Linked DNA regions of Notamacropus eugenii. The protein of the gene in region 2 interacts with the protein of the main gene of each other region in a biochemical or structural test. Links are inferred from orthologs where the notes say so. Each region holds a gene or a part of one and is shown on either strand. Other genes may lie near its edges.

Region 1 (9,743 bases), on a different chromosome or scaffold from region 2:
AAAGAGAAGGAAATACAGTAAAGAGATCAAGGAATGCAAATAAAAAAGAAAAAAAAACACAGAAGGAGAAGAAATAGCAGATAAAGAATGAGATCAAATAACTAAGATTTAGGTGCTGCGAGTCTAGTAAATGGAACAGAGGAAGACTAAGGGCCAGAGAGCAAGATATATAGGCTTGTGAAGTTTCTGGGAAGTAGAAATTTCAAGACCAAGCAACATGGCTAGAATCTGGGCCTGGGGTTTCCACCTTCCCTCATCTCTTTCTGTTCTGCTCCTACCTTCCTAGAAACAGACTATACCGCAAAAATATTCTTCTTGAAAACCAGGCTTAACCCTTCCAACTGAGTCAGAAGGATCTGATGATAATAGGTACTTTCCAAAAGACAAGGTAGGGCCAGGGCAGGGTAGGAACATAGCGTGAGAACAAGCTGGGCTGAGCCAAAGCTGTGTATCCTTGGCTGCATACTAAGTGACTGGGAGCTGGCATGGGACAAGGAGGATGGCAGAGGGACGGTAGCAGCAAAATTAGAGTCTTCACTCTCACTCTCCGTCCCACCCTCTTGCTAGAATTTCCAGTTCTACCTGCTTTTAGTCCCTCCTCCCTACGTCTCAGCCAGGGGGTTTGGGCCAGACCTGTCCAGGCCTCATTACAAGAGAACCCGCCCAGCCCTCAGTCCTGGGGCCTGGTGCTGTGCTTCCTGTTTGTCCCTGCCCCTCCCCAACCTACAGCATCATCCCGCCCCCACTTCACAGAGCTCATTCCCTAAACTGGACTTTAGACAGAAACCTCACTTATCAGGCAGTCACAGGCAGAATTCCCAGGGAAGGGCTAGTTTTAGTTCATGACTGTTCCTGTGGCTGGCCACTCAGCTGTCATGTGGTTCCTGACCAAGACCAGAGCCAGACATTGAATCAGAGAGTTGGAAAAGACCTTATAGGTTATCTGCTCCCACCTCCTACTCAAGGCAAGAATTCCCCTATGTAAAAGGTGACCATCTAGGCTCTGTTCAAACTGTTGGAAAGTAAACAGATTCTAGGGTCAGATCCAAATCCTTTCAGAAACTCCCAAATTCTTCTGGATAGGAGGAAACCGATTTTTCTCTTTTAACTTATGACAAGTCGCTTATGTCCTAAACTCATCAGTGCAAGGTTGGGTGGGAGAAGAGGTATTATGAGACTTATTATCATGTCCACAAAACAAGTGAAAACATGGGAAAGGAGATACCCTGTTACCACTACACTTTAGACTCATTTGGCTCCCCTTAAGGAAAAGGAGGCTATTTTCATCACCCAAGGTCTCAGTTCAAAACACAGCCTTTAGCTACAAACCAAATGCCGGTATCAGATTGTCAAAGCTGAAAAAGCCTAATAGCACTGGGTTAAAAAAAAACTACCTCCCCCAAATGATAAATGATCAAAGGATATGAACAGGCAGTTTTCAGAGGAAGAAGTTAAAGATATCTATAGTCATAACCACTATTGATTAGAGAGATGCAAATCAAAACAACTCTGAGATACCACATCACACCTATCAGATTGGCAAACATGACAGAATAGGAAGATGATAAATGTTGGAGAGGATGTGGGAGAGTTGGAACATTAATTCATAATTGGTGGACCTGTGAGCTGATCCAACCATTCTGGAGACCAGTTTGGAACCATGTCCAAAGGGCTACAAAAATGTGCATACCCTTTGACCCAGCAGTACTGCTTCTAAGACTGTATCCCCAAGAGATCATAAATGGGAGAGGGTCCCACATGTACAAAAATATTTATAGCAGCTTTCTTTGTGGTGGCCAAAAACTGGAAATCAAGGGGATACCCATCAATTGGGGAATGGCTGAATAAATTGTGGTATATGAATGTAATGGAATACTATTGTGCTATAAGAAAAGATGAACAGGAAGAGTTCAGAGAGGCCTGGAAATACTTATATGATCTGATACTGAGTGTGAGTTTTTTCTGTAGACTTGGAACTTCATTGCAACGCAAGGACTTAAAATTCCTAGTGGTCTTTTAAGGCAAAATGCCTTCCACATCCAGAGAAAGAACTAAGGAATTCAATCGCAGAATGTAGCAGATCATTTTCTTTTGTTTTACATTTTGCTTTGTTATATGATTTCTCCCATTCATTTTAATTCTTCTACACAGCATGACTAGTGAAAATGTATTTAATGGGAATGTATGTGTAGAACCTATATAAAACTGCATGTCATCTGGGGGGAGGGGAAAAAATCTAAGTTATATGGTACTGATTGTAGAACACTGAAAATAAATAAAATTAATTTAAAAAAAAACTACCTCCAATTTGGGGCCAATTGGACTAGTTCCTGAGCATGAGGGGTATTGGAAATGGAAACAAGAAAGTAGAATGAAGGTGCTGGGGGAAAAGGAAAGAAAAGCCAAGCTAGTAGAAAGAAAGAAGAGAGAAAAGATTATATGTGTTCCAAGACACACTTCTCAGTTCTCCTAGTTGAGGTAGCTATGTGGCACAGTGGAGAGTGCTGGGCCTACAGTCAGGAAGACTTGAATTCAAATCCAGCCTTGAACAGATGTGCTAGCTCTGTGACCCTGGGCAAGTCACTTAACTTGTTTGTCTTACTTTACTCAATTGTAAAATGAGGATAATAGTAGCACCTACTTCCTAAGGTTGTTAATGAGGAATAAATGAGATAATATTTGGATAGCTCCTGGCATAAATTAGGTGATTAGTAAATGTTTCCTTACTTTTTTATTGCCTGCTGCAGGTTTTGAGCGAAATTCTGTTCAAAAGGCCAAAGGTGAATGGGAGAATGAAGGGAGGGAGAGAACTGACTCACCTCCCTAACCCCTCATTCCTAGTTTGTCAGTTGGCATCTGTGTCCTGTCTCCTCCCACTCAAGGAAACAAGTTCAGAGCAGGACAGGCCCCCACATCTCCAGCTACAGGAGGGCAATGAAGTTAATGAACCGTTAACTACATCTCTTATCTTACAGCCAGCCAGTAATAATCCCCAGGGAACCCAACTGTAGCCTAAAAACAAGCATTTCCACAACAATTACATGGAATTCAGGAAATAAGGCCAAAAACATCGAATCCAGCACAGGAAACAGGGGGACACAGCAAAGAGCCCTTCTTACTCCACCTGAAATGCCTGGAAACTGAAAACCAGGACCTGCAAAACTAGCATAGAATTTCAATTCAAGTTCTTTCAAGCCCCTTGTTCTGTACTATCCCTTAAATGCCACAAAACATTCTCCCATGCAGAATTATACCTCTACTTTAGAGGTTCTCCCACCCAGTTTCTAGGCAGAACTTCCCCTAGGTTAGCCCAGTCTGTTGGGATCTTTCCTACGTGAAGAAAACTCCTGGAAAGGAGATTCTAGCCACCTCACTTCGTCACTAGTTCTGCTAATTCATACCTCCTTCTTTCCCAATACCTAGTCCCCAAGCTCCCTGTTATTTGTAATTTCTAGCCTTTCCTTCTAATTTGGTCCTCAGAGGAAATGAGAATAGCAGGTTGCCTTCCTCCATATAATAGCCATGAAGAAACTTCCCAGACTGAGATTCAGCTTTTAATTTGACAAACATTTATGAAACACCTGCTATGTGATAGGGTCACAAATACAAATAACATCACAGTCCCTACATTTCAAAGAACTCACAAAATTGAAGAGACTTGGGCAAGCATATTTATCTTCTCCACTTGCCCCTGAGGACTATTACATTTTGGTGGTTGTATTCCCAGTACCGAGTACAGTATCTTATACATAATAGGCAATTAATAAACCTTGGTTGAATTAGCCTATACTTTCAACTCCGTTCCTTACCCTCTGAGATATCCTTCTAAGAGAACTCTGTTCTTTTCCATACACTAGATCCAGATAGCATATCTTATTGTGGAAACCTCCAAAGAATTCATCTTTGATCACTAAAGCAGAAAAGGTAGATGGGTCAGAGAATGGGGAAACACAGGTCTGAGGAACTACTCTACAGATGCTTCAAGCAGACAAAAGAGAGAAACAGTCAAGCAACAGACTAAAAGCAACTCTACTTTCTACATCCTACCAGTGAGGAGTTAGAAACATACACTTCCCTTCTGCTTCATCTTCATCCATTAAATATCGCATGATGCTCTCCCCAGATCGATCTCAAAGTTATGGCAGTCTCCACCCTAGCCCACCTAAGTAAAAGTGCTCCATTCTGAGGCAGTGATCATCAGATAATACTATCTTGCATTTATGCCTATTATCTTATTTCATCTCCACCACTTTTGTGAGGTAGGGGAGGATACAGATTTTTTTTTTAAACAAATAAGAAGTAAATCCAGAAAAGTTAAAAAGTGATTTACTTAAGGACCCTGGTCTCCTGCCTCTTAGCACTATTCAATTTCACCATCCTCTGAACATGCTATGTCATGTACTCAACTATACTCCTAAGTCAGCTCTACTAAATCAATCTTCGGTTCCTTTTACTTCACCCATTACCCTGCAGATCCCCAGGCTGCAGCAGCTGTTCCTCTGTTCCTCAGTTCTCCTCACTTCACTTTATATCAGCTGACATAAGACTTTCCAGGTTTCTCTGAAACTCTCCTTTTTATCATTTCTAACGTACAATAATATTCCATTATATTCACATATCTTAAGTGATGGGCACTCCTTTAGTTTCCAGTTCTTTGCAATAATATAAGAGCCGTTACAATTACTTTTCTTATTATATTTCTTTCATTTCTCTAGGTTATCTATTCCTCCATTCTCTAACCAGACTAGGAAGTAGTCTAATAAAGTACTACTCAAGTTGGGTCAAAACGCCTGGAAATTCCCATGAGATGTAAAAGAAATTAAGAGAAGAGGACAGAAAAGAAGAGTCCAGGATTCATTAACTTTTGACCCCTTAAAGCCACTGGCTAGAGAAAAAGGAAGGCTAGAGTGTCAGATTGCCTCTGGTAATTCAGACAGGACATTTTGTCTGAAAGGGCTCAACTTCTTGAATCTTAGATATGGCACAAGGAACTTAGCAAAGCCAGTAAATTTCTAAAGTTTAATCAGAGGACAAAGAAAAAGGAAAAGAAAGGAAAGAAAAAAAGGGAAATAAAAGAGAAACCAAAGGGAAAAGAGGAAAAATGAGAAAAGAAAAAAGGCACACAAAACCTATACACTGTTTACCCCACAAGCACATATACTCAGATAAGACAGATAAACATTCATATAACTCATTTCCACATATGGATACAGGCATAAACAGGTTTCAACACAGACTAACCAATACAAAAACCTGACAGCTAGCCTAGACGGATATATCTAAGGGCACAGGGCCCACCAAAAGCGTTTCCCCATTGTTCCAGAGGAAAGGGAGTTTAAAAAAGAAACAAAAATCCTGACCCTGGGGTGGAGGAAGGGCAGTATTGTTCTGTGTAGGGAAAAAGTCCACCCAATCGACAAACACTCCCCCCTCCCCAAGGGGAATGGTCAGTTAGTCAACAACAAAGATAAAAGTTTGGCGGAGGTAGGACAGCAACAGGGGAGTCTAAGGGAAGTTCCGCCTGTTTAAGCCATTCCAAATTTCAACTTTACTCCAATTTGGGGATAAATGGCCCCCTGAAGCAACAACCACGGACTTGCAAATAGTAAGGAACTAAGCGGGGGAGGGACGGCGCATTCCCGTGAAATCAGGCAAGTAGCTAAAGAAAAGGTCTCCTCGGCAACAGGAAAGAAATCTTCACCCCCTTCCCTGCCCAACCCACAGCCGACCATAAACTGTGACCCCAACCAGGTGGTGGGAAGACACAAAAATGAATTTTAAGAGCTATTCCTCCTATATGTGGTTCTGCCATAGAACCCCCTCTCTAGGTTGTATAAGTGTATGGGGAAAATAAGCGAGTGGACAAAATTCCTTAAAGGATTGTGTATATAAGCTATGAATAGGGTAAGGAAATAAGAATTTATATAGCGCCTATTAAGTGCCAAGCGCTCTACAAATATTTCATTTGTATGTATGTGTGTTGAGAGGGAAGAGGGAAGGAGAACGAGAGAGCTAGAGAGACACACAGACAGAGAGAGAGAGAGAGACAGAGAGACAGAGAGACAGAGAGAGACAGAGAGAGACAGAGAGAGACAGAGAGAGACAGAGAGAGAGACAGACAGACAGACAGAGACAGAGACAGAGAGACAGAGTGGAGAGACAGAGTGGAGAGACAGAGACCGGGGACAATAGCACAAAGCCCTCAGTAGGGCTGCAAATGGGGGGAAAGCACGTTGTGTATGCATGGGGGGAGGGGCCAAAACACTTTCCTAGGTGGGGGCCGAGCCCGGGAGAGGGGTGGAGCACCCGACCCCCATCCTACTCCAACTATCCTCCTTAAAACCCAGAGCACTCACACAGGGTCGCCGCTGTGAAAAAAAGGAGAAGGTGCCTCTGCCCAGCCCGCTCCGCCATCCTGATCAATCCCGATCCGATCGCCAGATCCTCGCCGCTGGCCAAGGTTCCTCTAGGCAGACTAAGCTCAAGAGTAGCCTTTTCCCCAACCGCCGCGCCCAGACTGAACCCCAGCCACCAGGTGGAATCCCGCCCCCCACTTCCCGCCACTCCCGATTGGTTGGCGCTCCGCCCCTTGTATAGTTTGATTGGTAGGGAGAGCTGCTCGGACTCCTGAGTGATTCACCGTAGCCAGGTGCAGCCCCACCCAGCACCTAACTCCCGGTAGGATTGGAACAGTTCCAAGACCGAAACTTTTCTGATTGGTTTAGGCCAATGTCACTCCCTCTGACTAATTCCTAGCCTTCTCCAGGTGAGGGCCACTCACCTGAGTGATTGGACGGTATTCCTGTTGACGATGAACCACTGAAAGTACGTCTGGGGTCTGGGAAGAGGCGGGGTAATCTAGATAGGGTTTCAGGTAAGAAAGCAGGGGAGGAGTCCCAAGTCTGGGAATCCAGTAGCGGATGTTTCTTGAATACCAGGAACCTCTTAGGTACAGCAGAAGAGAATCGTTAGACTGTGGGAAGGGTGTTTCCGTTATAGTTCTATTGTGTATAACCTCTATTAAGTCGTTCTTGCTACATTCAAGGCAATTATTTTGTTCATGACTTATTAATTCTATCACATTCTTCACAGGGCTCCTTCCAAACCTCTCTGCTCAAGCTCCCCAATCCACCTCTGTCCCCATTGCTCTCCCCAGGTTACCTCACCTGCCATCATAGCCTCACAATTCCAGCCCTCTCAACTCCTTCCCTCTTCTATTATTCTCTGTGACTCATCCTACATATCTGAGGTATGAGCTTACGCAATCACTTCAACTTTCAGAGCCTCTCTTTCCTCATCCATAAAATAAGGAAGTTCAGCTAGATGATCTCTAAAGTCCACTTTCAGCTCTAATGCTATATTACTTAATATGTTTCTTCCTTCTCTTTCAAAGGAAAAGGGTGACTTTCCTTGTTGTTAATCCCAACCCAGATCATTACATTCTTTCCTGTCTCATGACCTTCCCCCAATCTGGCACTTCATAGGCCCATAGGATTATAAATTAAGAGCTAGAAGGACCTAGACTAGGTCATTCAGCCTAACCCCATTTGACAAATGAGGAATCTGAGACAATTTGTTTAACTATTCCTTTAGCCAATTTTTTGCTGTCACAAAAGTACCCCTATGATATTTTCGTATGTGGGGACATTTTTCTTATCAATGACCTTTTTTTATCAACAGCTTTCTTGGATTAAAAGGTATGGACAATTCATTTACATAATTCTAAATTGCTTTCCAAAATGATTATGCTGATTCCCAGCTCTGCCAGCAATGCATCAATATGCCTATCATACTACAATCCCTCTCACATTAACTATTGCCATTTTTTGTCATCTTTGCCAATTTGCAGGGTGCAAGGTAAAAACTTAGGGTTGTTTTGATTTGATTTTCTTTTATTATTAGTGATTTAGATAATTCTTTCATGTGATTGTAAATACTTTGCAATTCTTCTTTTGAGAACTGTTTGTTCCTATCCTTTGACCACTTATCTATTGGGGAATGGCTATTAGTCTTATATTTGTTAATTTGTTAATTTGGTTAATTTGGTAATCTGGTATTTTGAATACCAGATCCTTATCAGTGAAATCTGATACAAGTATGTTTTCCCATTTGAGAGCATCTCTGATTATCCTGATTCATTAGTTTAGTCTGTGCAGATTTCAGTTTTGTATAATCAAAGTTCTCGTTTTATCTTTTCTAATTGCCTCTGTCCTCCGTTTAAGAATACATGTTCTACATATAGCTGTGAGGGGTACGTAATCTATTCTAATTTTTTTTATTGTAGGATCTTTAATATTAAGGTTGTGTATCTATTTAGAATGTATTGTGGAATATGGTATAAGGTGTTGGTCTATGCCTAATTTCTGCCAATCTTCTTTCCAGTTATATACTGTTACAGTGGAGGATATAGAGAGATGGATTAGATACAGAGAGCTTCAGAACTAGTTTGAAGGTCAGACTCAAAATGTACTTAATGATTCATGCCAAAGTGGCAGGATATATTCAGTGGAATGTACCAGGGATCTCTCCATGGCCGTGTGGTATTTAACATTTTTTTCATTAATGATTTGGACAAGCACAGATGATATATGCTTATTCAATTTGCAGGTGACCAGAATTTGGGACAGATAGAAAATATTGTGGGTGATAGAGTCAGGATCCAAAGGGATCTTGACAGGAGGAAAAGAAAGAGAATTTCAGGCATGGGGGAAAGTGAGTGAAAACGCAGGGAATGACAAGATAGCAGGAAGTAAAGGAAGAAGAGTTGAGCTTTACCCCACAAGTCCTCCAAACAGATCTAGAAAGTGTAGCAGACCAAATCCTGATTAGGAAATCCAAGAAAAAGTCAAAGTGAATAATATCTCCAGCCCAGGTCAGCATAGTGAGGCAAAAGAGAAAGTCTGCTGACACTGGAAATAAGGTCTCTCCAGGAATGATGCTAGGCTGTGTACTGAGCACGGAGCTTGTTCAGAAATAAGCTATGTGACTGATCCTAGGAAAAGAGAGAGGACTCAGTTCCAGGTCTTAGTCCAGTCTGAAATCTATAGAGGAATCAATAGGGAAGGAATCGTAGAACAAAGGGGAGCCTACAGGTTGTCACTCTAAACCAACAGTGTCTTCCAGATGGCTTGTAGTAAACGAGTTCAGCAGCAGTCTACTGGAACTTCAGTGTGGGCCAAGTTCACAAGTATGTTGATCTGACCCAACTTAAGTCAAGAACTTAAAGAGCTGAAGTCTGATGGCTTTGCCCAGGATGAGACCTTGTTTGGGAGCACTGAAAGCTTGCAGGTTCCCAGCATGAGCTACCCCAGAGATCCTGGAATAACACAATACTCAGTACCCCAAAAAGACAGCAGCAGAAATCTAGAGGACAAAAGGTCAGTGCAAACGTTACCTCTAGAAGTCCTCAGAGCTTGTCCCAAACATAAAGTCCAAAGTCAGGAAACAGACTGTACAAATGAGCAAACAAAACTAGAGTCCCACCATGAAAAGCTACTGGGTTGCTCAAGACACAACTCCAGAGAGAATAACTCCCAAACATCTGCAAGCAAAGCCTTCAAGAAAAACATGTTGCGGGCACAAGTTCAACTAGAATTCATGAAAGAGATGAAGTAAGAGTCTTTTAAAAAAAGTTTTAAAAGATTTGTATAAATGAAATGAGAGTACCAATGAGGGAAAAACTGGAAAAGAAATGAGAGTTATGCAAGAAAGAATTGGAAAAGGAATTAACAACTTGGCAAAAG
Region 2 (9,743 bases):
ACAGAGGGCAAATTAAAAATAAGTAATTAAAAAAATAATAATTACTCATGGCTGAACCAGGCTAACATAATTAAAATAACCAATACTGAATTTACTTATTCTTTTCCATACCAATCATACTATCAAGAGTTTTTTAATAGATCTAATAAAAAAATAACAAAATTGACCTAAGAGAATAAAAGGTCACAAATAACCCAACAGGTAAAGTAATTTGAAAGATAAGAAAATTGAGGGGGAAAGAGAGCTACTAAGGAGTTTAGGGAATGGAAACTTGTGAATTAACAATAGTTAAAGGTCACAATTATTGGAATCTAAGCATGCCAGAGACAGAGAGTACAAGGCAAGCCAACATATGCAGCTCAAGGGAATCAAAGGCTTATAGCACATTTGAAAAAGGAAAATGGGAAAAAGATTCCCAAAGGTCATTTATATGCAGAAATCAACTTCAGGTATTCCCTATAGTTACCCAACTTAGGCCCCAGCATCTGTCTATCCACACTCACACACACACACACACACACACACACACACACACACACATATACACACACACACACCTCTCACGTGTGTGCATGGTACATTAAATGACTGTACCACCACACAGCTTTTCTCTATGGAGAGTTGTTTGACCTCCACAGAACATTTAATCTTTAGACTTAATCTGTGCCTATGAGCAAGTTTCACTAAGGCCAGTGGTATTTTTACTTTGCTAACCTAACTCTGTTAACTATAAAATGGACTGGGACCAAAAGTTTCCCGTGAAAAACCTCTAAAAATTTTCATTTATTACCACCATACATACAATTCAGTTGGCAAAGGTATCCACTTTCCTAATATAAAAAAACTAATAACACATCTAGGCAAGATGTCAAAGTAACCTAAAACTCCCAGTTGGGTGCTATTAGAAACTCATTTTTTTCAGACAATATGAGAAATCTAAATTATTTAGGACAAATTATTAGAGTTGGATTTTTCTCAGCATGAATAACATAATACAGCAGTTCACAAAGTCAAGGGAACCCCCCCATTTCAAGAGGTTCACAAAGTCAAAACTATTTTCATAACAATACTATTAACATTTTAATACAGTAAATATTTATAGATATTACCTACCTATATAAATATAGCTACAACCACAGAGGTGTCCTCAAAACTTTTAAGTGTAAAGTGTTCCTGAGACAAAAAAGTTTGAGAATCACTGAACTAGTAAACGTATTTAATATGTATATAAATAGTAATTTTATATAAACTCCCTGCTACAATATATTACTAGAATTGCAAGGATGGAATTTCAAGAGCATAAAGCAACTTAACCCTACCCCTCTAATATACTGCACTGCAAACAATGTACATTAAAATAATGAAACAGTTCATATTAAAGTAAGTTGTGCCAACAGACAACCATCTTCATTAGTAAATGTTATAGAAGCAATTCCCGGTCTATGCTGTTAAGAACATTAGTTTCCATATTAGTATTAGATGAAATGAATCAATGTGAATATTAAAGGTATAGAAAAGCCAGCCAGAATCTAAAATTATTATAATACTAATAATGACTTCTAATAATATATTGCCTTTTAATTAAGGTTTACAAAGTGCTTTTACCTGTTATCTCTCTTGATCCTCACAACCACCCTATCAGGCAGGAGCTATCACTATTTCCTGTTTACATAAGAAGAAACTGAGACTTACACAGATAAAGTGACTTGCCCACAGTCATAAAGCTAGTTTCTGAAGCAGAACTCCAACTCAGGTCTTCCTTAGTCCAAGTCCAGTGTTCTATCCATGGAGCTACCTCTTTCCTGACCTCCAGGCTCATATCTCCAACTACCTATTGGCATCCAATTGGACATCCTAGAAACATCTTAAACTCATTATATATCTAGAACAACTCATTATCTTTCTTTCCCCCAATGCTTTCCTTGACTCTTAAATGTCCTCAAGCTACTGAGGGCATTTTTGTCTTCCCAATCATCCCAGCTGGCAACTCATCTTTGATTCTTCATTCTCAATTACCCCAAACAATCTACTGCCAAGTCCTTTCATTTCTATCTCATATATTTCCCCTTCTCTCCTCTGATTCACTGCCCTGGTGCAGGCCCTCATCACCTCACACTTGGACTATACTGTAAGAGACAGCTAGTTGGCTCCTTGCCTCCAGTCTCTTCCCACTCCAGTTCATCCTCCATTCATCTGCCAAAGTGATCTTAAAGCATACATCTGAACATGTCATTTCCATTTAATAAACTCCAGTGGTTCCCTATTACCTCCAAGATCAAACAGAAAATTCTGTTTGGCTTTTAAAACTCTTCTCAGCTTAGACCCTTTTTACACTTTATTTCAGTGCCCTGTATTCTACAATCTGGAACACTGGCCTAATTGCAGCTCCTGGAACATGACACTCCACCTTCCATACTCTGCACTTTCTAACTGGCTACTATACCCTACGGCTGAAACACTCTCCCCTTTCTCATCTCTGCCTCCTGGCTCCCTTCAAGACTCTTCTCAAATGCCACCTTCCGTAAGAAGCCGCCTTCTTGTTCTCTCTCTCTCCAACCCATAGCCCCAGTGCTTTCCCTGTGGGGTAAAGTTAGCTCCAATTTATCTCAAAAATACCTCCTAAGTGTGAGATGGTCTTACCTGGTCTTCCCTCATTACAATATGAGCTCCCTGAGGGCAGAACTCTTTTTGCCTTTTTTTGTAACCCTAGAACTTAGCAGAGTGCCTATCACTATCCAGGAAACCACAGAAGGTAAAATCCATGTCTTGGTTTTTTCAATTCAGCACTTACAATCAAAAAGCATTTTTTGTTTTCAGACAGTAACTCCCCCAAATATGAAGCATTACACAATAATATTAAGCTTTTAAAAATATTATCATCTACCTGAACAATAACATTTTTGTTACAACTTTATTGTTAACTTTGCTCTTGTTCTGCAATGTTGTCATTTCTGGGGGGCTGATGGGGGATGAAACAAGACTTAATATTTAAAAATTTGTTATTTTCACAAAATGCAATCATAGGTATACCATCAATAAGGGTGAAAATTATGTGTATTTTGTTGTTCCCCTTCCCTTAAAACAACTATAAACAAGGGAGTTTATGTCTTCGTTCCAACAATTATTTCAAATTTTCTTATGATATATATAATAGTATCCATTGCTTATTTTATATTAAGTTTGCACAAAGTACAATAAAATAATGTAAAAAATTTCTAATATCTTCAATTTAATTCCTTCCCTTACCAGCAACAACTATATTTTCTTAACCAGTAAATCTGCAAATGTTAAAGAATCACCATTATAATTTAATTCTTGTCTCTTCAAAGGTATTAACCAACAAAACATAATATTGGACTCTTAAAATTTAGAGAAATGTTTCAAATGTAAGTAATCTATAGAAAACAGAGGTATTTTCAAAATGTCCTGATGTAAGGATGTATTTCCCTCACAGATTAATTACTCAAAATAACTATAAAGGCCAAAATAAATTTGTCCTAGGAAATGTTTTCCAGTCTATCCCCATTCCAAAGTTACTGAAAAAGAACTTGCAAGCTAACATTTTTAGAAACTGTAAGAGGATAATCTCAACAGGAAACACTCAAACCCTCCTAAAACAAGCTCAAAGTATATCAAAATGTGTAACTTTCTTACTGCGCCTAACAGTGTGGTCTTGCACAAAATAAGATTAACTGATATTTGTTAAACAACCGAATAAATATAAAATTGTTTCCCTGTTGACTTGCCAAAGAGATTATTTCCTTCAAAGTACTTTCAGCAGGAACTTAAAGCCAGTTATGGCATAACTCAAAACACCTTATAAGACTAGTTGGAGAGAAACAAAAGTTGTAGACTGTCACAGTAGCTAGATAACAATATTGATGTGCTTTCAAGCCCCTTCTCTGTGAATTTCTTCAAGGTTTTTCAATCCACAGTTCAACACATCCCAGGAAAAAAAAAAATTACGTGCTTTCCAAGTGTCTACAGAAGGCAGTCCCTAAGCCAGTTTCAATAGATGCTGCAAGGATTTACTTATAACCCTCTCAAACTTTCCAAAGGTCAAGAATCACCATCACTACATTCTTTCCTCAAAATGCTGTCTTCAAAACACAGGAGAATTCACTAAAGGAATCAAAGAAAATAAATGGCGCTCTTGCAATACCAAGTCCAGATGAGATTTTTGTCTTCTATGGATTTCAATAAGATTTGACTCTTCAGAGGAATTAAGATAGATTCAAAACGTACCAGTTCAAAACTAGCTTTTCCTCTCAAGCCAGTCTAAAATTAACTGACCAGTTTGTTCAACTGTTCTGAAGCTTTCTTTGAGCTTGGAGGGAGGGGGAGGAAAAGCAGAAATAATCTCAAGTAATCAAAATACTGACTGCCAAAAATGACTCCATCATCTATTTTAAATAGACTCTAACCTAACTTGTATCATCAGTGATCACAGACTGTCTGAGCTGAAAAAGACCTTCTAGTTCAATTCTCATCCAAGAGATAAGGAAACTGAGGCTCAGAGTGGGAAGTGATTTGTCTACAGTCACACTTGTAGCAAGCAAAGCCAGATTTAGCCTTCTTTCCATTGCAACACATTCTAACTAAAAGAAAAGAAAATTAAGTTAGCAAAACTGGTTTCTGATCACTCTTTCCAATGGTAATACTACTATTTTATATTTTTTAATTTCTTGAATTTTCTATGTATACCTAAAATACTTTCATTCTGTTTTTAGTAAGATATCCTATTTTCTGAAATTGCTAAAGCTTCAAATAATTACCGCACCACAGTGTTAGGAGAACGTTAGGATATACTAGTTGGTTAAACAAGAACACGTAGGCATAGTAATCAATGAGTAAAATATGTAAGGTGTACTCACAATTTCATCATGTGGGAACTACAGTTTATTACAATATCTGAACCTCCCTTCTAAACCTATGCTCAACATTATCAGCATACCCACTTTTCATACTCAGGAATTAGTGAAACAGATAAAATACACATCTGCAAATCTACAACTTCAAGTACCCAACTTGGTAAAGGACACTGGGAACTGCAGGGGCAGAGTGAAGAGGTAAGTGCCACAAGTACTTGCTAGGGTTAAGAAATGGAGAGATTAGGAAAAAGTCATTTTTTTCTTCAATATTCTTCTTGATACTCTGAAGAGTTAGTATCATAGGATCACAGATCTAGAGCTGTCCATCTGAGAGTCTAGTCCTCTCATTTTACAGGTGAAGAAACTGAGGCTCACAAAGTTCAAGTGACTCGTCCAAGGTCACACAGATAGTCAGCTTCACAGGCAGGATTTCAAGCCCGCTCTAAGGTAGTTAGACTCAGTTCTTTCCCTGCAAAATGCCTTCGAGTTCAAGGTAGTTTCTCTAACAACGGATCTCAGACTTCATTCCCAGTTCTAGACCTTAGAAGACAATAAAGCATTCTCCCCCAAAAGCAATGAGCTAATAAGGACCCTTGTCAAACTCATCTGAGAGAGGCCAGTTTCACATCTTGCCATTCAAACTTCTAAATGTGCAAATTACATGCAGAACTAAAATAAAGCCAACCTCAAATCAACAGCATTTCATTCACAAATTCGTTAAACAGAATTGTGCATTTAAGATAGTCTATAAGGGGAACTATTAAAAAACGAATTTAAAGGATGGAAAAAAAACCCAAAGGAGTGACTGCAGATTTCACACTCCATCAGCACTGTTATTCATTGGATCCCCTGGCTTTTTCCTAGTGTCATTCCTCAACCAAGATAAAAAGGATGAGAACTTTGGCTGTCACTGTCGTATACTATACCAAACTAGTGACTCAAAGCATACATCTATCTTTCCCACGCCAAAACAACTATCCAAACTCCAGTTTGACAGAAGCAATGAACATTTGTTTGAATAATTGTTGCATAACGAGACATTAAAAACCCGAATCCGGTCTCCTTTGAACCTTAATCTAGGTAGACTTAAGCGGCCACCTCCAATAAGGTCCTGGGGTTGGACACAAAGGCGTATATCAAGTCCGGTGGATACACGCCCCATAAACCAAGCAACCGTCCACTTCGGCCCCCCAGCCCCAGCTCGCCCCCGACCCACTCAACAACCAACAAAGATGCCAGCCTCTCCTCGTGGCCTGAGTAGGTGAGGTGGTACCGATAACCCAAAGTGCTCCCGGAGAGCGACTACCAAGTCAGCTCTGCCAAGGCCATGTGCGGCAGCCGTCAGATACAATGTAAACAGCCCGAAATCACGCAGGGCTGTGGGGGAATGAAATGATCGGATCCCTCCGGGGAGGGAGGTGGCAGGGCCCCGCTCGGGCTCCGGGCTCAGGTACGCACGGGGATGACCCGAGGAGGCGGCGGGCGGGGCGGGCCAGGGGCGCCAGCGAACGCGTTTCTTCCCAGGCACGCTCCCCTCCCCCCAGGTAGGGGAGGACTTACTTGCCGATCACCTCGCACAGCTCGTACACATCCTCAAACAGCACGTCGTCGTCGGCCATGGTCCAGGGGGGGAATCAAACGGAGAGGGTGCCCAAGAAACAGTCACGCCGCCCACAGCAGTGTTTCTTTGCTTTTCTGTGGGTGCTTTTTGTTTTTCACCACCACCCTCCGCGGGCTCCCTTCTTCGCCCTCTCAGCCGGGAACGCTCGGTCCGGCACGACCTGCGGCGACGACGGCCAAGGAGGACTCTCGGGGGGATTGCAGCCAGCCGCCTCGTCCTCGTCCTCGTCCCTCCTGCTCGCCTCCAGGCCGGGGGACCGCCAGCAAGGATCCTCCGGCGGCGCGAGCGGCGGCGGCACAGCCCGGGCCGCGGGGCCGCCGCCTCCTTCCGGTCTCCCGGACCGACCGCCGCGGCAGCCCCTCCGCTCGTCCGCCTCTGCCCGGCCGCACCTTCCCCTGCGGCGTCCGCGGGCGGCGGCGCCTCCCAGCCCGCCCCGCTCTCTCCACCGCCTGGCGGCGGCGGTGGCTCCTCGGGCTAGCGGGGGGGCCGGGGAAGGACCATGAAGGACTCCGGCGGCGGGGGGGGGGGGGGCGGCGGTCACGGTTGGAGGCGGGGGCAAAGACGCCGCTCCCCCCCCCTCGTTCTCCTCTTCCTCCTCCTCCTCCTCCTCCTCTCGCCGCCGCGCCCGGGCTGTGTGAGCGAGCGAGCGCGCGCCGTGGGCGAGGGGAGGGGGCCGAGCCGGGGCGGGGTGCGATGGGGGAGGCGGCGGCCGCCGAGGCGCTCTCCCTTCTTCAGTCCCCGAGCCGGGCGAGGAGCCGCCGCCGCACGTCCCCTCCTGCGAGCTCCTCCGAGGCTCCTGGCGGATGACTCCCCCGCATACACACACACACGTACATACACACACGCCTCACCGCCTACTCGTACTCTCCTTCCCCCACCCCAGCCTCCCTCTCTCCTCTCCTCTCCCTGTCTCTCTCGGGCCGCTGCAGCGGCAACAGCGGCCGCGGCTTCCAGAACCCCAGGCCCCGCCCCCTTTTTTCCTCCCTCACCGCCCCCCCTCCAGGAGGCGGTGGCGGCGGGAGAGTAAAGGGGAGTAGGATGGGAGTGCACGGCGCATGCGCGCGCCGGTGAAACGTCACGGCGAACGGGAACGAGGGAAAATGAGGCGGAGAAGGGATGGAAAGGGATGGGGAGAAAGGCGGGGCGCGGTGAAGGGGGAAGGGTGCAGTTGCCTGGGGGGGCGCTCCTGCAACGACGGCGGGGTGGGGAGTGGGGGGTGAAGGGGAGGAGGATCTGTAGGTGCGTGTGCAGGTTGGGAGGGAAGAAGGCTGGCTTCCCTGCGTCGCCCGAGAGAAGTGGCACGGCGTGCAGCCGCCTGCGTGAAGGTGGCAGTGCTGTGGGCTGCAGAGAAGCTCCGTGCCCCCTCTGCTCCCCGGGGAGCGGGACCGCGCTCCAGCTTCGTCCTTAGTGAATGGGAAAGGAAGGCTCCTCCGTGACGGTTTCAGGCCCATCCCGTCATTCTTTACTGAAGTGAAGGGGGTGGGGAAGGCGGACTCGTGTCCAACCATATGGAGGAGGACGCTAGAAGGCTAGCGGGTAGCTGTAGACAAAGGTATGCCACATAGATTGTGCATGCCACCCATGCGACTCCTTCCAGCGGAACAATTGTGTTAGCCATTTAAAGGGGGAAACCACTTAGGTTTGGGGTGTTCGTCCTAGCGCAGTTTTGAGTTTTGATAGCTTTTGCAACACGCTGTATTTCCCCCGTGATCCTGGGTGTGCTGACAAACACTGGTCATAGTGTGCTTTGCCCTCGGATCAAAGCAGGGAAGTGTGGGAATTTTTTTTTTTTTTTACTTTCCCATTTTCTTGTCCTTCTAACCCTAACAAGCTAACCCAACACGGCCACCACGAACCAGGAAGAAAATGCAGCCTAAGGAATTGCAGACAAGGTGCAGTGAGTATCCTGAACTCTTAGCGTGAGGCAGCCTGGAAATTCTGCTTCCCTGAACACGTGCAGAATGTGCAAAACATCCTTCAAACAGACCTCCCCTCCCCCCTCCATTCAGCGTTCAAAGAAAAAGTGCCCAAGCAGTTCTTAAGTGACAAGCGCTACAAAGTATCTAGTAAAATTCTCTAGTGTAATAAAGTAACAGCTACAGTATTCGCTAAAGAGAAATACATAGTTTCTTTTCAAATGTTGCTTGTGCATTGTGCATGTACTTGAACCCTCTCTCAAGAAACAGAGCTCTCCCTCCTCCTTTCTTCCCCAAACCTGCTCCATTAAGAATCCTGGCCGTAAGCGTTCATCTTACGCATCTCAGAAGACTCCAATAATATTAGCAAGTGCAACTTTTTCCTAGAAGAGCAATAGTTTTGCTTCAATTCAGAGTCCAGTAGTCCCTGGAAAGCAACCAAAAGTTGCATAGATGATATTCTGTGCTATTGCTGAGATCTCCAAAGTGGAGGGATGTAGAACGACTCCAAGGATGCCCCCATTGCCAGCTAATGACTTTTCTCCACAATTGGCCCGCCGCTTTCAATATTTCTCTACCCCTTCCCCAATCCTAACTCCCACCTTTGGTCTCCAGTTTTTCTACCTCAAGCTTGGGCTCTTCAGAAAGGTTATTACCTAAGCTGACCAAGGCACCCTATACTGCTTGCAAGGAATACTCCTATCCTCTGTCCCAATCCCATCATTGCAAGGGGTGAACCTGTGCTGTCAGCTAATGTATGATGAGTAAGACATTCCACTTTTCATTTTTCGGTAAACAAGAGGGAGTAGTTCAGAACAGTCATGGGTAGGTTGTGTTTATATTACCTTTGCCCAAAAATTCACCCGTCTTCCAAACACCTGTTTTTGTGAATGGCAGCACCATCATTTCAGTCTCCCAGGGTTTCAGCTATTCATTATCCCTGCCTACTCACAACTAAAACCGTTCTTTTCTAAGTTATCTACAATCTCTTCTAACAAACAAACAAACAAAAAAACCCCTCATGACCATCTTTATGCAAATACATCTCGGAGTCTCTCTTCCAGGTAGAGTTAGAAGAAATATAGTGTTGTGTACACAGCATAAAGTAAAATACTTAAACTAATTGACAAAAACAAGCCTTACAACTTTTTACATCTTAAAATTTTTTATTATGCAATATGTCCTGTCGCATTTCACATGATTTGGCATTGAGTTCACAGAATTTTGACAAGTAAAATGTAATTCTTGATCAAGAACCCATCCTTATACAATTGAAATTTAAGTGTACCATTGACAAATATTTGATTTTTTCCAAGTCTATTATATAAATTTCCA
Region 3 (9,743 bases), on a different chromosome or scaffold from region 2:
ATATTCTGTGTTGTAAATTTCCTCCAGCGCAGGCCCTCTATGGTTCTGCGATTCTATCCAGTGAGACCCACACACACATCTGCTCAGTCACACCATAGCAGAGCAGATCTACCTCATTAGCACATAATAGGTGCTCAACAAATATTTTTTGAATGAATGAAGTCACACATTCATACAGTCACAGATCCAGGAACTGTTGAACTGTCACATACATAGGCACCCACGCTTGCCTCTCCCTGGCCAGGAGGTGAAATTTTACAGCAAAGAAGGCTGATTTTCTGGGATAGATTTAAACTAACACTGGGAAGATGGGAGGGTCCTTGCCACAAAAGGAATCCTCTATCCCCATCACACACACACACACACACACACACGAGTCACATAAGCAAACACAGACACAAAAACAGAGAGAAATAGCCTGGTTATCCTGATGACATCTAGAGCTGGGGAGAATCTGTCTCCTCCATCAGACTGATTAGAAAATCAAACCAAAATGCAGGACACTTGTCCTCTTTTTTGCTCCAGTCCAGTTCTTAGAGATCTCCTTGTATTTAGCGAGGGGAGATGGGAAGGACAGAGAAGCTATGGGATCCCAACCCCTCTTTCCCTCAGAAAATCCACACAAAAGGTCACAGATAGCTTCTGGTCTTCCAAGGCTTTTTTGAGGTCATCAGCTCTGTCTCGCTTCCTTTAGGGAAAACAGCTAATCCTTCAGCCCAGGAGTTTCCTCAGCAGACATAATAAATGACCATACAGAGACCTTGAGAGCCTCCCACTGGATTATCATCATATACCATCCTTTGATATCAGCTCTGACTCCAGATCTTAACCAACCTGATCCTAATGTCACTGAATAACCCTAAGACAATTACACTGACCTGCAAGCATCAACAAAGCCCAGCTCAAGATATCAAGCACCCTGATGCTATGACAAGCATTCTGAGCCCACATCACCACATTGACTGTGAGATATCAGAATACTGACCTCACAATATCCACAATGACCCTGTGATATCACCACATTCACCCTGAGATATAATCATACCATAATATCACTACCATAACCCTGGGATAGATCATCTTGCCACTTCCAAGATATTACACTAACCCTATGATACTGCCTTGACTCAGTGGTATCACTAATCCCAAGATAACATTGTTCTGAGCTCCTAATACCACATCTTATCCCATAGACACTGACAAGTGCATCTAAGTGTGTCCTGTATCCCCTCTGCATGGGGTAGGTCTCTCCATAGACTAAGAGATCCCCAAGGACAGAGGTTGCATACATACATTTAACCCCTAGATTTCAGTCAAGCTCTGATAAAGCTAAGGTTTTGGCATAGGTTAGGAGGAATAGCTTTACGACATGAAGGGAGGGAGGGAGAAGAGGGAGAGCTCTGAGTATAGTGTAGTAAGTTAAGGAAGAATTGTACCTCTGGATTCTCTCAGTCCTATCCCTGCTCTTGGGCAGCCCAAACTCTAAGGGAAGAGTGGACATACACATCATTATTCTGATATCATGACAGATTCCTTGTGAGTTGATTGGCAGAAGATTGGAGGAATCAGTACCTTGATGCTTCTGCTTGTTCCCATCACCCACTCTGGTCACAATGAGGTGGGCAAGGCTGACCCTTGCCCTTGGCCTCTCAGCATCCTCAAATGATATGGGAGCAAAATGATTACAGTCCACTGACAGATGGTCCTCATGGTTTATATACAAAAACACACAGAGGCAGACATGAATACACGGATATAGATGGTAGGAGATAATTGCCCAATTATGGATCAAATCCCCACATCCATCAGGACCTACCTCAGTAATACTTTGGGCATCTGTTCCCACTTCTACACTCACCTAACCACCGCCCTAGAAGAAGCCTTCATTATTGCTTTCCTGGATGATCCTAACAGCTTTCACTTCTCTCCCTTCCAATGCGTGCTGCATGAGGTGCCAAGTCAATCCTCCCATTGTACCACTCTGCTCCCATCTCTCCAGAGCTCCAAACATGTTCAGTGGCTCCCCACTGCCTACTAAATAAAGCCCAAACTCTTTAACTTGGTATTCAAGGGCCTTTACAATGTGGCCCCAGAGTACTTCCTTTCACAAAAACATATACATAATAACTCACTTTTCCATAGCTCTCTACAATTTCTCTCAATGGTGCATAACCTCCTTGAGAGTAGGGGTAAATCTGTGTTTTGCCTTTGTATCCAAAAAGTTTTCTTTGCACACAGTAGGGACAAAATAAGAATGTTTTGTTGAATTAAACTGCACAAGATTACAGGGATAAGGCCCCCAGGTCTAATTCCATAGACACAAGAGGAATTTCCATTAGGGAACTTACTTTACAAATGCAGATGGAGACATTCTGTGCAATTTACAGTTTTAGTGTGTTACCTGAAGCACAGAAAGGGTAAGTGACTTGACCAGTATCACAAAGCCTGCATGTGCCAGAGGTAAGACTGGAACCCAGGTCTTCCTAGCTCTGAGACCAGCACTATATCCACCATTCCATTCTACTTCTCTGTGGAGATGATAATATAAATATTACGGTTCCTATTTTCCAAATGAGAAAACTGAACTTTAGAAGTTCATGGGCTCTAACCTCAGAACCCCAGTCTTAAATACAGCACTCTATACAGTTACTCAAGTGGTATAGTATAAAGAGACTTGGTCTCAGAAGTCAGGAGAACTGTGTTGGATCCCGGTCTGAATATTTACTTTCTATATAACCTTGGGCAAATCATGGACCACTTCAGCCTGTCTTCTAATATGTAAAACTGATATCCAGACACTTGCACCTATCTCAATTCAAAAAAGTTCAACATTTTGTTTGGTGTTTTTTTGAGGCAATGGGGTTAAGTGACTTGCCCAGGGTCATACAGCTGAGGCTGGATTTTAATTCAGGTCCTCCTTACTCTAGGACCAGTGCTTTATTCACTGTACTACCTAGATGCCTCCACATTTATATATTAAATGTCTATTATGTGTCAGGGCACCAGGGATACTTATGAAAATTACATCTGAAATTTTGGTCATAGTTCCCTCTACCTGGAATTCCCTCTCCCTCCATCTTTTCTTATCTAAGTCTGACTCATACTTCAAGGTCCAGCTTAAGTCTCACTTCCTTCAGGAAGGCTGGGGAAAGGCTGGGGAAGTCTAGTTTGACCAGTCCAGTTCACACTGAACTTCTTTCTCTCAGTTTCTATAGCCTTCAAACTGAGGCCCTTCTTCCACAGCCTAGCCCCCTGATCACCCCACTTCTGTCTTGTTTTTTCATCCCCCAAGATGATAGGTCTAAAAGCCAGCATTTCTTCCCCCAGTCCCACCTCCACATACCAAAGGAGAATGTTAAATTGGGTACATGGGGCACTCAGTTCAGGCAGGCTAGCTAGACTGGTATGAACTGGTGATAGAAATAAGAAGGGATTATGAAAAAGGATGATAGGTAAAGTGGATGGTGGATGATAATGGAGGAAGCAGACAGGGGCAAGGGAAAGATAATCAGAGGATGGTGCAGAAAGGAGAATGGTGGAAATGGGAAGCCAGGTAAGCGTAGAGTCAGAGGGATGATGAAAAACATGAGAGCCTTCTGATTATAGTGGGGAAAAATTTCTATTTCCTCCAAGCACCAGAGCTGCCCACTGAACATCACTCCTTGCCCCGGCCCCACCCTCCCACTCCCTGGGCCCAAATTCCAGCTGCACTTTGCTGAATCAAAATATATCTTACTCCAAAGCAGGCCAGTGTCACCATGGCAACCGTGCTAATTCATGAAGGGGTTTCTCCTCTCTGATTTATGAAGCCCGCCCCCTTGGAGTCAGAGCACCGAGTTGGGGTTCCTGTCCCTGTCTGTCTCTATCTCTGTTTCTGTCTGTTTGTCTCTGTGTGTCTCTTTTTCCCTGTCACTGTCTCTCCCTGTCCCTAGCGTCATCTCTGTCTCTCCCAGTTTCTGTCTCTGCTGTTACTATTTCTTCCTGTCTCTCTTTCCCTCTGTCTCGGTACCTAACTTTGAGCTCTTACAGAGCCTAGAAACAGATTCTTCTGACTCTGAGCCGAAATTGTCTCTAGTTCAGGACTTTCCAGTTGGACATCTGACTTGTGACCCTTGGGAGGGGGAGGGTGTTAAGCCAGGTAAACTTCTGAGAGAACCTATGTGTGATCAAAAGGCATGATCATCCTCAGGGGAGAACTCTGCCTTGAGGGGAGGGGGTGTCTTAAGAGCTACCAAGAATTGACAGAGATCAGAGAGATTAGAAATGAATGCTGAGGGAGAGGGAGAAGCCCCTTACTCTAACTAGCTCCCACCTCCTCATACTTTGTGTCTGTCTCTGTGTGTTTGCCTGTGTCTGTCAGTGTATATATAGGCAGTTATATGTCTGTGGATAATTGTGTTTATCTTTCCATGTATAGGGGGGTAGTGCATACAATATTCTGGTCTCCCATCTGATTCTAAGGAAGCCTGAAAAAAATCAGACTTGGGATCTTAGTTCCCACCTCTATCCCACCTTCTGACTCCCCAGAGAGGATAAACATTAAGCAAGGGTTGGACCAGAGGCTGGCTACCTTGGGGGCTTGATGACTGCCTCCCTCTCCCCACCCTCACCCCCAGGACTGAGACTGCCTCAAGCCCCTGACATTCCCTGGGGAGGAGGGAGCTTCCTGCCTCCATTTCCCAAGAAACCCCTCCCCCTACATTGGTCCCAGGTCTTGAGAATAGGTGGGGCAGAGTGACAGATTCACATAAACAACCTGCAATTGTTCACGAACACTCAGTGACACACTTCTGCACACATATTGCCAACTACTGCTCACACACAGATGCACTTTGATATACATGCCATAGCCACACACGCAGTCAGTCACATGCAGAGGGAGGCATAATCTCACACACTCTAGGAATTGGCTTCTATCCCCATCTCTCTCCCCCCTTCCATCCTTCCCCCGCCCTCTCCCAGCCCCTCCATCCATCTCCTGCTCCTGGGGGAGGCTCCGGCTGAGCCAGGATCAGCGTTAGGATCAGGAGGCTGAGCAGAGGCTCCTAGGCCCTCCCAGGGGGAGCTCACTGCAGCCAAGGGTTCTAACCTCACTACTCTGCTAGCTTCCTCCCTCCCATATCAGCAGAAGGAGATGGGCACTGCGTGCTTAGAGATCCTCAGCTTCTCTAGACTGTTTGATAAGAGATCCCCCTAGGCTAGAGAAATAGACTCCAAGAATAGACTGGTAGCTCAGACACCTGAGTCCTTATCCTGATTCTGCCCCAAGTTGGGCGACCTTGGACAGGTCACTCAGCCACTTTGTGCCTCAGTTTCCCCATCAGTAAAACATTGCCTAAACCTTCTCTTGAGGGGCCATGAAATGGGATTATGTCTCCCCACAGAGCCCCTCCCCTCTGTCCCCTGCCTTTAGCCACCTCTCTCACATATATACATGCATACATACATACTTACATACACACACGGTCACATCAGCCACACCCTCAGGGTGGCCCCTTCCCAGTTTTCTCCAACCTTTGTTATTAAGCATGACGCGAAAGTATAGATAGAAGACCCAACCCAGTCCCCCTGGGGAGCTACAAGGACGGACAGCCCCTCATCATCAATTGAAAGAGAGAATTAGAGAGGCAGGACCCTGCCCCTCACTTTCCCCACCCAAACACCTAGGGAGAGGCAGCATGTGAAGCTAGAGCACACACACGCGGGACTGTCCAGGTGGCCCAGTTGGCTTATGTGTGTCCACCTGTGTGTCTTGGAGTCCCTGTGACCCTGCATCTGTCTGTCCTAGCCCTCTCTGTGCCCATCTATCTCTGTATCCCTGTAGCTTTCTGTATACCTCTTGAGTATGTGTGCTGAGATGGGGGGGGGGTAGGTGGAGGGACGACATAGAAGGGTAGGGGGAGGTGCGGGTTTGGGCTGTTGAATAAAATGCGCCTCCGGAGCCTGGCGAGGGCGAGTCATCGCCTGGCCCCCACCACCTTCTCTCGGCCCCAGGCCAGCCTCTCTGCAGCCTCTGGCTAAAGTGGGGGGGGGGGAGAGGAGGCGGGCTACCGGGGGCGGGGCCAAAGACACCGCCCCCCTCAGCCTGTATCCCCCCCACCTCCCAGAGCCCCGAGACACTGAAACCCCCCAGTATCTCCCCACCCCCTAGGTCCCCTGGGGATCCCCTCAGACCCTGCATTCCTATCCCCCAGCATCTCTTCGTTCCATGTCTCCCCACCTACACCCCCTCCCAGACCTTGCACGCTCCCCTGGCCCTCACAGATGACCAGGGCCTCCCGTGACACCCCAAATTCTCCCAATGCGTGCCCCCAGACCCAACATCGCCTCCGGACCCTGCATCTCCTAGGCATGCATCTCCACCCCGGGGGCCCTCTTGCCCCAAGCCCCCCACCCTCTTCCCAGACACCCCCCCTTTCTCCGCCCCCAGACCAAAGCCCCCCCGCCCCCGCCCCCGCCCCCGCTCACTGGCTTTCCCGGGCCGCGGCCTCTGCAGCAGCCTCTGCACGGCGCCCACGTCCTCCGTCTTTACCGCCTGCACCAGCTCCTGGTCCTTGCCCATGACGGGGTAGCCCGCCCGGCCCTGGTCCCGCTCCGCCCAGGCTCCAACCCCGGCTCCCGGCCCGAGTCTCCCGACCCCAGCCCCAGCCCCGGCCCCGGCCCCGGCCCCGGCTCCGCGCTCGGGCTCGGGCTCAGCGGCGCCGGAGCATCCTCGCCGCGGCTCACGGGCGGGAGGGGGGAGCGCGTCACGGGCGGGGGGCGGCCCGGGGGCGGGGGGATGGCGGGGATGGGCGGGGGCGGGGCCGGGGGGAGGGGCTGCTGCGGCCCCGGGCGGAGGGGGTGTGTGTGTTGGGGGGGTGGTTAGTGGGGTTGGGGGAGCCTGGTTACCTGGCGCCGCCTCCAGGACGCCTGGATCCCAAGCATCTCCCTACATCTTGTCCCTCCCCCCTTCCCTAATCACAGTGGGTTCCTTCTCCTCCAGCGCGTCTGTGATTCTGTCTGTGTGTCTGTGTCTGCTGGAGAAGATGGATGGAGATGCATAACCTCCACCCCTGGGCAGGATGATGAGTCCTGGAGCTGCAGCATCTCCTGGGGTTTTTCCATGTTGAGATAGGGCTTAGGCCCCCTCTAGAGTCATCCTGGGGTGGGGTAGGGGAAAACATTCCCATGGTGCTCAGAGAAACCATAACCTGCCTAGTAGGAAGGGGTTGGTGCTGAGGATATTTTTTTTGGGGGGGGGAAGGCATGAAGGAGGGGCTCAAACATCTTCTCAGAGTCTCAGAGCATGTAGGGGCCTCAGAACAGTCAGAGATCCAGAGATGGGTATCAGGAACTCAGAGGTGATGTCAAGGGATCTGAGACATTGTCAGAGGCTCAGAGACATGTCAGACTCAGAGATGTGTTAGAAAAGGTGTCAGAGATAGTGTTGAAGAGGGATCTCCCGATAATAAATTCAGCGTCAGTGAACCTTCTGAGAACCTCTGTTCCCCACCCCGCCCCCAACCCCAGTGGCACCTTCACAGCCTGAAGCCTTTTACACATTCACACTTCCTGGAAAACACAATACACCCCCATCTTCCTCCTTCCAGCCCCTTCTCCCTAATGGGGATGAGCAGTCTTGTCCTAAAATGGTATTGGGGTTCTGTCAGCTAAATTTTTAGTTCCCTTTGAGCCTTTATACAGTTACCAACAACAGTCCTGAAGGACTCCAGATTTCAAGCCTTCACCCCAGCTATGTATCTGTCTGCTCCAGGATGCTGGGGTCAGAGCCTGGATCATTGCTGGGTCGGATCAGACACACACACACACACACACACCCACAAACTCCCCCATCACCACCCAGGAAAGTCCATCTGCTAACAGTATTTTGATGGAGCTTACCGTTGCTTACCGTTAGCACATTGGCAAAGCATTCAAGGATCTCCACAATCTGCTGTCACCCTAACTTTAGAATTTTGCCCCACAATACTCCTTTCCCATAATCTACACTCCAGCCAAACTGGGGACAGACGCTCTCCTCATTCTCACCCTCAAGTCTCCCGTTCTGTAGGCTTTGTTCACATCACTTTCTGCTCCGGGAATGCCCCTTCCCCCACCCCAACGTTCAATTGTTGAAATTGTTGCCCACTTCAGGCACTACTTCCTCCAGGAAGCCCACTATAATAACATACTTTCCCCTTCCGTCTTCCTACTGGAATGCTCTCTCCCTCATCTGAACCTCCCCCTCACTCCTCAGAACACGTAGGGTGTTTGTGTCACATTCTTCTGAGTATGATGGTCAAAAAGGTCCTCGTTTCATCACTGGCATTAAATTGTTTGGTTCCCTCAGGGGGCAGAGCTGGGTCATCTTCATCTTCGTCTACCCCCACCTCTAGCTCTTCCCCTTTCCCCAGAAGAACACACATGCTTGAGAAATGAATGTTTATCCCCAGATAGAGACATGGAAATTTAGCCCTTGACCCAAGAAGCATTGACAAGGACAGATAGCAAGCAGATAACCCCATCACCACCATCACCATCATATACACGTCTTCTGTAGCTAGAAATGGTCAGCCTTGCAGCCCCATTACCTGATGATGGCAAGCTAGTTATCCCCTGCCTAAATGCCCTAAAGCAAAAGAATAAGACCAAGACCACCTTCATCATCTTACATACTGTAACCAGATTTCTCTTGGTAGAGGGAGAGAAGAAGTACATGATGTGCAGTGTGATTTGCACAGGCATTGCCCTCCCTCCCCCTCATCCTGGGATTCTCCCACCCTGGGGAATGGCTCAGTCCTCTAGGGATGCTACAGAGACCTGCTACCTAGAGGGCCCTAGCTTTGTTCTACAATTTTTCTCCCAAGATACCAGCCCTACTCTCAACCCTGAGGCCACTCCACCCCAGCCCATCTCCCCTAGGCCATTCTAAAATCTTGGGGGCAAGTCATGACTCTACATCTCTGGGACTGGCCCTGGCTTTCATTCTGGACACCTTCCTGATCCCACTCAGACACCCCTCCCTGAATCCAGGGGGCAGTGGCTCTGCTCTCACTTTCCATAATCTTCAGGACTTGCTCCAATGAAAAAGTTTCTCTACTAGGCATTGGGCCCTGCCTAACAGCTCTCTCCAGTACTAGAGGCAGGACCTAAGGTGCAAAGTTCAACTGGCCAAAGTCCCCTCCTTCCACCAATGTATACCCTTAAGCCTTAGAGAAGAGCTCAGCCATACAGAGGATTATATACATATAATATATATATATATGTGCATATATGCATTCAAGTCAAGAATCTTGGTGTGATGAAAAATACACAGGATTTATGCCAGAGGTCCTGAGTTCAAATCCCTGCTCTACTACCTGTATGACCTTGGGAAAGTCTCTTCTCCTTTATGGGCCTCAATTACTTGATAAAGTGATAGGATTAGAGTAAATGATCTTCCATATTTCTTGCAGTTCTAAGCTGGTCACCACATAGTCCAGCTGGGCTGAGAACTATATGCTCCACTGGTCAGTCCACGGGTGTGCCGATAAATGTTTAACAACCAGCTTTCCAAAAAAATGATTTATAGCACACTTTTGTGTTTAATCTGCATTATTAACATCTTCCCCATCTCTTTCTTAAGTGTTTAAAATTTTAAAAAAAACAATAAATCAAGCTCCAGTCTATAGTGTTTGCAGATTTTGGAGGCATAAATGCTTACAATGAAAATTTAAGAGCTGGCATCCAGTATACCACTGCCATGCTACTGACCTTCCCCAATT

What was found.
Region 1: the proteins of CASK (region 2) and F11R form a complex in vitro, tested with the Homo sapiens proteins (2 studies listed by BioGRID and IntAct, with this or other methods). The link is inferred for Notamacropus eugenii from reciprocal best matches to the Homo sapiens genes CASK and F11R.
Region 3: the proteins of CASK (region 2) and CASKIN1 interact in a biophysical measurement, tested with the Homo sapiens proteins (2 studies listed by IntAct, with this or other methods). The link is inferred for Notamacropus eugenii from reciprocal best matches to the Homo sapiens genes CASK and CASKIN1.

What each region holds. Positions count from the first base shown.
Region 1 is NC_092873.1:267,438,164-267,447,906, forward strand, and holds the start of F11R (junctional adhesion molecule A), read right to left. Parts: upstream 6,541-9,743; 5' UTR 6,415-6,540; coding exon 6,357-6,414; intron 1-6,356. UniProt on the Homo sapiens protein: Seems to play a role in epithelial tight junction formation. Appears early in primordial forms of cell junctions and recruits PARD3.
Region 2 is NC_092876.1:432,454,706-432,464,448, reverse strand, and holds the start of CASK (peripheral plasma membrane protein CASK), read right to left. Parts: upstream 6,621-9,743; 5' UTR 6,491-6,620; coding exon 6,432-6,490; intron 1-6,431. UniProt on the Homo sapiens protein: Multidomain scaffolding Mg(2+)-independent protein kinase that catalyzes the phosphotransfer from ATP to proteins such as NRXN1, and plays a role in synaptic transmembrane protein anchoring and ion channel trafficking.
Region 3 is NC_092872.1:47,854,778-47,864,520, reverse strand, and holds the start of CASKIN1 (caskin-1), read right to left. Parts: upstream 6,619-9,743; 5' UTR 6,563-6,618; coding exon 6,469-6,562; intron 2,294-6,468; exon of another isoform or gene 1,437-2,293; intron 1,231-1,436; exon of another isoform or gene 952-1,230; coding exon of another isoform or gene 879-951; intron 1-878.